Regions from separate parts of the Mus musculus genome. Here all the other regions are reported to be linked to region 1. The links are microRNA targets in miRTarBase. Many come from high-throughput screens and were not tested one by one. Region 1 holds a microRNA gene; each other region holds the end of a gene's coding sequence.

Region 1 (3,254 bases):
CTTGGATTCAGTGCAGAAGGAGCTGGTGGCAAAGGGCAGAGATTGAATCTATGGTTTCGAGGTCACATTCCAGAAGGAAAGAGGGATGAACAAAGAACTGCATTAGTCAGGACAGTAGCTCCCTGAGACCTATGAGGACATGACCACTCCTGCGACCACTATTGGGACATTCTCTCTCCACACCCAGATTCAACTTATTCACATTAAAACCACCTGTAACTCCAGTTCTAGGGAATCCCATGTCCTCTGGCTGCCACAGTCACATGCACACATCCATGTAGTGCGCATAAGCTCATGCAGGCATGCACACATACACACGAATAATAAAATAAATCTTAAACAGTTAAAAAAAAAAAGATTTTCTCTCACCTCAGCCAGAGAGACAGAGGGACAGAGGACTTGCTCTGTGTCACATGTGGACCAGTGCTGGGACCTTGGAGGACAGGCCTGCTCCGTGTGCTCTGGGGTCTTCAGGCAGGTCTGGCAGTTCTCAGTGACAGGCCCTGATTTCCACCCCAGGCTGTCTGCTCTAACCCAGCCTCCTCTCTGGGCCGTTTGGTGGCTAGGCACAGGAGATTTAGAACTCTGGGGGCCCAGTTCTGGGTTCTACCTTTTCCTCCAGACCAGGCGTTGGGGCAGCAATTCTGCAAGTTGAGGTGGGGTGCCCATTCCAGAGTAAATTGGATTTAACATGGATGTGTAAGTAGGGTGCTGGGTATGCCAGTTGGCATTTATGTGGCGCTTACTGTATACCAGCACTGGCACTAGTCTAGGCTGTTACCCCTCTGTTGCAGATGAGGAGACTAGGAGATAAGAGCAATTGCTAAGTAACACAAATTAGAGTGGATAGCCATGTCCCTGAACCTTGGACCAGCCGTTTCCATGAGTTACCTAAGGGGATGGACAAGCATCTTCCTGTGGTTTGAGATTTGCCCCCGTGCCCCCACCGTCTCAGCCCGGCAATGGCCGTCCCTCTTAGACAAAGCTAAACAGCTGCAACCAAGTATGGGTGCACTTGGGAGACTGAGACAAGAGAATCAAGAATTCTAGATGCGTTCCACATCCATAGTCAGTTTCAGGGCAGCCTGGGCTGTGGGGAATCCCGTCTCACAAAGCAACCCAGCACTGGGGAGCATTTGGAGGACATGAGTTGGGTTCCCAGAATCCATATCACATAGTTCGCAATTGTCTTTAACTCCAGCACTAGGGGATCCAGTGCAGGCACCTGTACACATACACACACACACACACACACACACACACACACACATACACACACACACATTAATTGAATCTTAAAAAGAGAAAACCAGAGGTTGGGAGATGGCTCAGTGGTTAAGAACACTTGTTCCTTCAGAGGACCCAGATTTTGTTCCCATGGTTATGGCGCACATACATACAAATACATACACACATACATACATATGTACATAATACACATACATATAAAAATAGGTACATATATGCATACATACACATGCATGCACACATATACATATATACACACATGCATGCATACACACAATACATGCATACATACATGCATGCGTATATACACACATGCATACCTATATACATACATACATACATATAAAAGACTCATACAGAGAAAAATAAATGCATGTGAAACAACACAACAAGAACACAGGCCAGGAGTGGTGGCACACACCTCTAAAGCCATCACTCAGGACAAGGAGATGGCAGGTGAGACTGCCTGAGAGGTCAATGAGGTCAGCCAGAACTGCAGAGTGAGACCCTGTTGTTTGTTTGTTTGTTTGAGACGGGGTTTCTCTGTGTAGCCCTGGCTATCCTAGAACTCACTCTGGAGACCAGGCTGGCCTTGAACTCAGAGATCTGCCTGACTCTGTGTCCTGAGTGCTGGGATCAAAGGTGTGCACCACCGCTCTCTGGCTAAGACCCTGTCATAAATGGGGAGAATGTTCATCTAGTAAGCATTTGCTATGCAAACACTGAGGACCTGCATTCCGTGCCCAGAGCTCACTCAGTAATGTTGATGATGATGATGACAATAATAATAATAAATAATAGTAATAAATTTAATAAAAACAACCGGGCGTGGCGCTGGGCAGAGCAATCCACATGCTAGTGAGTAGGAGCTGGGAAGCTCCCTGGGGGTCACTGGCTATTCAGCTCAGTCTGCCCAGTGAGCCCCAGGCTAGTGAAAGACTATCTCCATCAGCAAGGAGGTGGTGCTGAGGATCCTGGGTGTAAATTGCACACATGCACAAGCACGCATACACCCTTACACACTTACCCACACACACATGAGAAACAAAACTGCCCAAACCATCAAAACAGATAAAGGCAGTGAAGTACCACCTGACTCTAAGACATCGGGGAGAGGGGGGGCCCACAGACCTAAGGAAGTACCTCTCCCCTCTCCCCTTCCTCTTTCTCTCCCTTTTGTTTTGGTGGTGGTCGTCGTGGTTTGGGTTTTGTTGTTTTTGTTGTTTGCTTGTTTGTTTTGGCTTTTTTGAGATAAGGTTTCTCTGTGCAGCCCTGGTTGTCCTTGAACTCACCCTATAGACCAGGCTGTCCTTGAATTTAGAGAGATCCATCTGCCTTTGCCTTCCGAGTGCTGAGATTGAAGCTGAGTGCTGTCTCCCCGTTGCTACCACCAGCAGGAGGCTAGGAGGCACCTGCTTCAAGAAGAGGCCACAGTGGGTTTTTTTGTTTGATTATTTTTGTTTTTGTGTTTCTTTTTGTTTTTTGAGACAGAGTTTCTTTATGTAGCCCTGGCTGTCCTGGAACTCATTCTGTAGACCAGGCTGGCCTGGAACTTAGAAATCTGCCTGCCTCTGCCTCCCGAGTGCTGGGACTAAAGGCGTGCGCCACCACACCCGGCCAACAGTGGTTTTGACAGTTGAGACAAGTTGGTCAGGCTATCAATAAAATGTGGTCACTAGGGTCTAGACAGGTGACTCTGCAGTAGCCAGCACTTGCCATTCTTGTAGGGGACCCAGATTTGGTTCCCAGAGCCCACATGGCAGCTTACAACTGTCCATAGCTCCAGTTCCAGTGGTCCTGATGCCCCTTTTTGCCCTCTGAGGGGCACTGCCAGCACATGGCACACAAACACACATGCAGGTACACACTTATGCACATGACACTAAAATAAATACATCTAAGAGGACAGCCGTTGGCCTGAGAAGGGGCAGAGGCAGGCAGGGTGTGTTTGGAGGAAATGTTCACCTCTGACTGGAAGGACACAGTCCCCACAGCAGTTCCTGAGC
Region 2 (3,254 bases), not on the chromosome of region 1:
GCCTGAGGAATAGCTAAGCAACCCCAGTCAGGCTCAGACGGAGCAAGAGATCATGAGATAATAAGGCAAAGTATTCCCCCAGCAGGAAGGCACAGGGTCTTCTGGGGGGGGGAGGGGGAAATCCCATGGTTTTCAAGAGCAGCCATCTTGGGCCAGAGTCCCGCCTTTATCATCCTTGTCTCCTGAGAAGAAGCTCTATGAGGTTTGGACACTGTCAGGGCCCTCATTGTAGATGAGACTACTAAGGGTCAGAGGCTTCGGGTACTTAATGCAGCCATGTGACTGACGAGCAGAGAAGCTGACTCGAGCCTGAGCTACTTGGCTGCCTCCATCTGGTCCGGAGGCAACCAGGCAGCTCGGAGACCCGTCCAGCTAACCTGACTACTCGCCATGGTGACAGTGAGGACAGCGATGAGGAACTGCAGCGGTGCCGGGAGGCAGCTGTGTCGGCTTCAGACATTCTCCAGGAGTCAGCCATACACTGCCCTGCCAAGGCAGAGGAGAAGAAGAAGTTGAAAAAGAAAGCCAAGAAGAAGGTGGACAATGCTGACCTGGCTGCAGCCCCAGGTCTGGAACAGGTAAAGGAGGCAGGCGTTGTCAATGGGGACCCGGTGTCGCTTGGGATCCAAAAGAAGAAAAAGAAGAAGGCCAAGAAATCCAGAGAGGCTCCCCTGTGCCCACCAGCAGAGTGTGCAGCGGCGAAGCCTGAGAACTGACCCCAAGCTGTAGGTCCAGCCCTGAGGATCAGGTGCCCATGGAGTTAGGGCAGAGCCAAGCCACACTCCCAGTTTCCAGCTTCCCACAATGACTGCCCAGGGTGACTTTAGGTGGGCTTGGCCAAGAGTCCAAGCAATGGAGTGGGTGTATGAGGAGAGGCCTGGAATAGATTTGTGGTTCCAGAACGTTCCCCAGCTTTTGGACTGAATCTCAGAGCATCCATCTCCCCAGCCTGTGCAGCCTTGCATGACAGTTGTCCTAGAGAATGATGGGCAGGGGTCTCCAAGCTGCCGAGGCCCCAGAAAAATTTTAGTACCTCTCCCCCAGACTTAAGAACATTGTCTGGAAAAGAAGGGAAGGTCTCCCCCACCTCCTCCTCTCCCCACATTTGTCTGTAACATGTTGACTTGTTAATACCACAGGTAAGTCAGTCACTGACAGTCAGGTGCCAGAGCACCTGCTTAGTGCTAGGCTGCATGCAGGCTTGGGTACAAGGCCCTAAGAAAGAGAAAAAGGAAAATAAATTCTCACGTGTCCCAAGACCTACACTAGCTCTGCCCTGGTCAGTGCTGATCATTTTTGTCTTATTGTCTAGAAGAGTCTCTGTGTAGCTCCAGCTGGCCAGTCTCCTGGTTTGCCTCCTGTGCAGTTACACCAACGACCGTCAGTGCTGGGGAATCAAACCGGGGCATCCCACTTACCACGCAGATATTGGGCCACTGAGCCACCTCCTCTGTGCCGAATGTTAAGGGGGCATCTTATATAAAAACCACAGGTGGCTCCCTCTGTCACCCCAGCTTCAGGACTCCAGGGAATGGTAGCACACTTGGAGTACCAGGTGGGTTTCTTGCAGTAACAAGGACACACAGATTCAGGCAGAGTCGCCTCATTTCCAGTTAAACAAAAAGATGTGTAAACATGTACGGGGCTTCGCTCTGCCTTCCCTCCTGGCCACTGATGGACAGTCAGGAAGCTTCCACGTGCTTTTTACTGACTTTACTAAAAGTTAAATAAACATACAGGCTCACTTATGGTTGGCCGTAGGCTACAGTCCAGGATGACAAAGGAGCTGGCTGAAGGCCAGGTTCCCTGCAGTAGGCCCGAGGAGACAGTCATGTGTGCTGTGTTTCCCTGGGCTGCTCGGGACCCAGGATTTCTCAGAATGGCTGCTAGCCCCCAGGCCACTTAGGTGGCTTCTCTCTGCTGGTCTTGGTACCCTCTCCACTAGACACTGCCCAGGCCTTGACTTCTGAGTTCTGCAGGTCTCCCTCATAGCAGGAAGGAAGTTGTCAGGGGCCTACAGGCAGAGGAGTGGATTGTCCATGGTGTGGTCTTGGCATGAGTTGCAGGTCCTAAGGAACAGGGATGACAACCCGAGCCCTGAAATGGCCTTTCTAGTGGATGCAAGTTGCCAGGCTGGCATCAGAAGACACATCCAAGGGAACAGATGGCCTGCAAGTGCAGTCCTGGGGCTGGGAGAAGGGATGGCTTGGTAGGGGAAAGCCTAGGAGAGCCCCGAGTGGCTTCCCCTCAGCTCCCGAGCCTAGCAGAACAGCTGGGTAGGAAATCCCCGTGGTGGGGAGGGTAATCCTCAAACAGGCACGTGGGTCTCTGGTGCAGGGTGGAATGGCCTGGGGAGGTGCAGGAGGCAGCAGGCAGCTGTGTTGATCTAGGGCCTCAGAGCTCAGCACAGATCCTTGAAGGCCTGCAGGCTCTGACTGGGGGGGTGCGGGCACCACGAGCTTCCCCACTCCTGTCCCAAGCATTAAATTTCCTATTCTAAACAGCAGGGATGGTGGTCCACAATACTGCCCAGATTGGGCCGTCCTCCAGCTCCTCGAGGCTCGCTTGTCAGGCTGAGACACCTCAGAGCCATCCCTTCCTGATGATGGAGGAGCAGCAGTGTCAATGAATGCGTAGACTTCTGGGAAGGCCAGCAGCCTGTGTCAGGTGGCATGGCAGGCTCAGATATCCTCCAGGCAGTGTGGCTGCGGCCCTCCTCACCCCCTATGCAGGCAGTGCAGGCCCTGGGGACCCAGCTCCTGGGAGGCAGTCACCACGGTTACTGGGAAGAGGAGGCCATCTGGGTGGAGATAAAAGTCTCGATGACACTATGGTTGGATGGCAGCAGGTGGCTGTGCCCGTTGGAGTCGGAACTCTGATACAACACCAGGCTGCTGGAGGACACTGCAGAAGCAAATGAGGTTACTAGCTGTTGGCCAAGTCCCCTCCGACCCCTACCCCACCTGCCCATCTCTTAGTGATGCTCCAGGGAGAGACAGCAGAGCCTCACATTCTGAATCACCAGCCAGGCGGTGGTGGCACATGCCTTTGATCCCAGCACTTGGGAGGCAGAGGCAGGCGGATTTCTGAGTTCGAGGCCAGCCTAGTCTACAGAGTGAGTTCCAGGACACCAGAACTATACAGAGAAACCCTGCCTCAAAAAAACAAAAACAAAACCCCAAGCAAACAGGAAAAAACACAAAACAACCTCCTCTGGCCTCTGCATGTGTGTGTAGAGCACCTATACACTCACA
Region 3 (3,254 bases), not on the chromosome of region 1:
GAAGAACGCAGCTTCTCCAGAATTCACTGACTGTGACATGTTTATCTTTTTCACTGCTCCAAATACCTTTGAATAACCTGCAGTAAGTGATGTTTTCCAGCACCCAGTGCTGTGGTAACACTGTTCCAGAGTACTGAATGGCTTGCTGGGAGATAGACTTTAGGAAGTCAGTGTGGTGACCCGAGACATTCTTCTAGCATCCCCAGCCCTGGGAAGGGCTAGGTCCTGCCTCCCCATAGCTCAGTCTGCCTTGGCACACAGATCCAGTCCTAACGCAGAGTGTCTTCTGTCTTTCAGATGGGCTTCTTCCGCAGAAGGTACAAAGAGATCATTGAAGCTGAGAAAAACCGGAAAGAGAATGAAGATGGTTGGGACTGGGTCCAGAAAAACCAGTGACCCACCGTGCCAGTCATGTGATGCCCTCATGTCCCCATCACCAGCCTGTGGTCCTTGATCTTTGTATCTTTCATATTTGGAAGAAAGAAATCTTCTCCAGATTTTTCGGAGGCCCCACTGATGCTGTTCTCTTCCTCATCCCGTCAAGCCCGGTGCCGACCTGAGATGGCCACCCCTCCAGCCAGGTCACATGACTGGGGCCACCACCACTCCCCTTCGCAAGATGAACTTAGAACTTTGGAAAGGCAAGCTACAGAGCAAAGCAATATTTATGGATGCAACATTGCGTGGTCAACCCTCAGGGGAAAACTGTTACCTAAAAGTATTTTTTATAAATGTAAGCCTTTTATATTGATCATGTCTTTATATTTGTATCAATGTTTTATTATTTCTATTAAATAGTTCTATAATTCACTCAAGCACTGAAATCTTGGAAATACATGTCCCTGCATACAAATTTTAAAAGAGAAGGAACTTATTCTACTTTGGAACTTGTTGTTAGGGAAGAAAAAAAAAACTTGCAGATAAAACAAACTGAAGAAACCTCATGAAATGAATCCACCAAGCTGGAGGCACTGGGAAAGCACAAAGGACATGGCAAGGCCGCCTAAGACATTTATTCCCCATTGTTACCACCCGGAGTTAAGTTCAGAGAGCTTGAAGTATCGGTGTTTTCTCTTATGGACCTCTCACTGGGAGATTCTCAGCAGGAACTGGGATGGAAAGCTTGGTTTCCTCTCAGCAGTTGCTCTGTACCACACTGATACATGCAGCAGGCACTAAACCCTCTTCTGGAGTCAGCAAGTGCTGGATGGACAACTGGTCAACCTCAGAATAGCATCTCATCCTAAACAACATGTGTCAGAGTTCAGAGCCCAGGACCGAAGCTGTGCTCTCTCAGCAAAGGCCTGTTTTCTCTGTGTGTAAGCTGTTACCTTGTGGTATAATGTTAACACAAGACTCTCCATTTCCTCTGTCACTCTTGCTGTCCCCAACTGGTGGTGCTGCAGATACCTCCCCAGAGAGGATCACCCCACATGGTTTGTGTTTATGTCTTAGGTGGAATTCTCAAGAGTCGAACCCTGAAATAGGACTTGGGTGTAAATAATTTATTGAGGAAGTCTTCCCAGAAGGTAACAGTGAGGAAGTTGAGAATACAAGACAGGAGAGTACAGGGAGCCAGGCAACAGTGTCCTTTCAGGGGACAACCCACGAGGTGGCTTCAAACCAGTTGGATCTAATGAGCAAGTCAGACTCAGGAACCTGGACTTTTGTGATGCCACGCCTGCAGGGGATATAAACTTTCTGCCCTTAGGTCTTGCTGACAAGATGACTCTGTCCTCTAGAGGAGAACTTTGGGGGGCACCCTCAAGTAAGGAGATCCACAAATCATGCAAAGAACTCTGAGCCAAGAGCTTTAGTGCTCCCCTCCCCCACACAAGTGAATGCTACCTTCAGCTTTGTGTAGCCAAAAAAGCCATGAGTCTAAGCTGGTCCTAGGAGTCAAACATTACATCTGACCCATGACCAAGTCAAACTCACTACAAGGAAGGGGCAGCCCCCCCAAAAAAAAAAACAGTGCACACCCAGCTCTTTTAAGTTTTATCAAAAGAAAGAAGAAAGAAGTCTTGGCTTTACCAGCCATGTACATCCTGATCTGTAGTCAGGCACTATCCTGGTGGATCCCCTGAGAACACAGTCCCCTCGTGCCTCAGGGTGGTAAGCCTCCCACAATAGGTGCAGAGTGTGGATTCTTCATGAACCCCATTTGCAGCTGTCCTGTGATGATCGTGAATTGTGTCATGGTTTCCTTTAATAAATCATTTGAGAGTCTCAGGTGGTGAGACCACTACAGAACCATCTGCAGTTATACTCAAAATGCATTTGTCCCCACTGGCTTACTTCCTGCAGAGGGTATGACTGCATCAATGGAGAAGGATGCATAACTCAGCTAGCCAGCAGAGCTGCACCTGAGAAAGTGTGGAAGGCAGGAAGGGCAGACTCAGCTAGAATCTGGCCACTCAGCTGGATCTCAAATGGTGAACCGCCATGACTAGTCACATGCTCAGATGTCGATACAACTTCAGGAGGCAGATTTTAAGGAAACTATATGGTTGCTCAGGAAGCAAATCCTAAAAGGCACCATAGGGGAGAGGAGGCCTCTTTGCCTATCTGATAATGTTGAGAGCTAGGGGTGTGGCTGCCTGGCACAGAGGCAGGGAAAGGGGTGGAGCATTGTCTTGGAATTCTCTCAGCTGAGTTGTTCAATGTCTCCATCCCAGTCTCCCTCCAGGGATCAGGAAAAGTGGGCAGGTGGATTGATGTGCCTGTGTTAGCTCTTTCTAGAACATTCTTTTTAAAAGCCCACTGTGTCGCCTGTTGTAGCCTTCCTCTGCCTCTGAGTTCATTCTGCAGACGTTCTCCAGGGCGCTATCAATAGCCTGCTTGTTTTTCAGTTGTGTCTTCTGTGGGTTTAACCAGCTCAAGAAAGACTAGAGCATCCCCAAAGTGAACCCTGCCACAGAAAGGCTATGACGTAGACAAACAAGAACACCAGCAAGAGGGGCTGGTCGATTGACTAGCGCACACCCTGTGTCCTGCCACTGTGGTCTCAGGCAATGATTTGGGAAAGCACCTCAGGGCCCAGCGGTTTGACAGGCTGCATGAAGTTGTCTGTCCGAGTCCCCCATCCATCTATCCTTGTGCTCTACCACTCAACCCCCTACCCAACCCACCCCCACGCACCAAATATCACATGACCTACTAAAGCCAAAGGCAAGGGAAAGTCTCAATAAACAGCATGCTGTTGGGACACCCCGGGGACCAGTGACCCTTGTGGTGTGGTCAAGCCCCAGTGT

Evidence for each region. The annotated mature microRNA mmu-miR-1954 reads ACUGCAGAGUGAGACCCUGUU and lies in region 1 at 1,741-1,761, shown strand. An mRNA with a match to its seed (bases 2 to 7 or 8) in the 3' UTR can be bound and repressed. Matches are read on the target gene's strand: a 7mer-m8 pairs with bases 2 to 8, a 7mer-A1 pairs with bases 2 to 7 and ends in A, and an 8mer does both.
Region 2: the mRNA of Hnf1a is a reported target of mmu-miR-1954. Seed matches in the 3' UTR shown: 7mer-A1 at 1,973-1,979.
Region 3: the mRNA of Itga9 is a reported target of mmu-miR-1954. Seed matches in the 3' UTR shown: 7mer-A1 at 1,401-1,407, 7mer-m8 at 2,257-2,263, 7mer-A1 at 2,302-2,308 and 8mer at 2,805-2,812.

What each region holds. Positions count from the first base shown.
Region 1 is chr2:32,650,602-32,653,855 of GRCm38, forward strand. Mir1954 (microRNA 1954) reads left to right here and starts at 1,728; the gene lies at 1,728-1,813. All of the region lies in intron 1 of Eng (endoglin), which reads left to right.
Region 2 is chr5:114,947,282-114,950,535 of GRCm38, forward strand. Hnf1a (HNF1 homeobox A) reads right to left here. Exons shown (of 10, transcript NM_009327.3): 10 at 1,699-2,904. The coding sequence ends at 2,780. 2210016L21Rik (RIKEN cDNA 2210016L21 gene) reads left to right here. Exons shown (of 6, transcript NM_028211.1): 6 at 401-1,259. The coding sequence ends at 716. Among named protein-coding and RNA genes, the nearest start is that of 2210016L21Rik, 6.7 kb to the left of the region's middle.
Region 3 is chr9:118,896,937-118,900,190 of GRCm38, forward strand. Itga9 (integrin alpha 9) reads left to right here. Exons shown (of 28, transcript NM_133721.2): 28 at 298-3,254. The coding sequence ends at 396. Among named protein-coding and RNA genes, the nearest start is that of Gm51695, 11 kb to the left of the region's middle.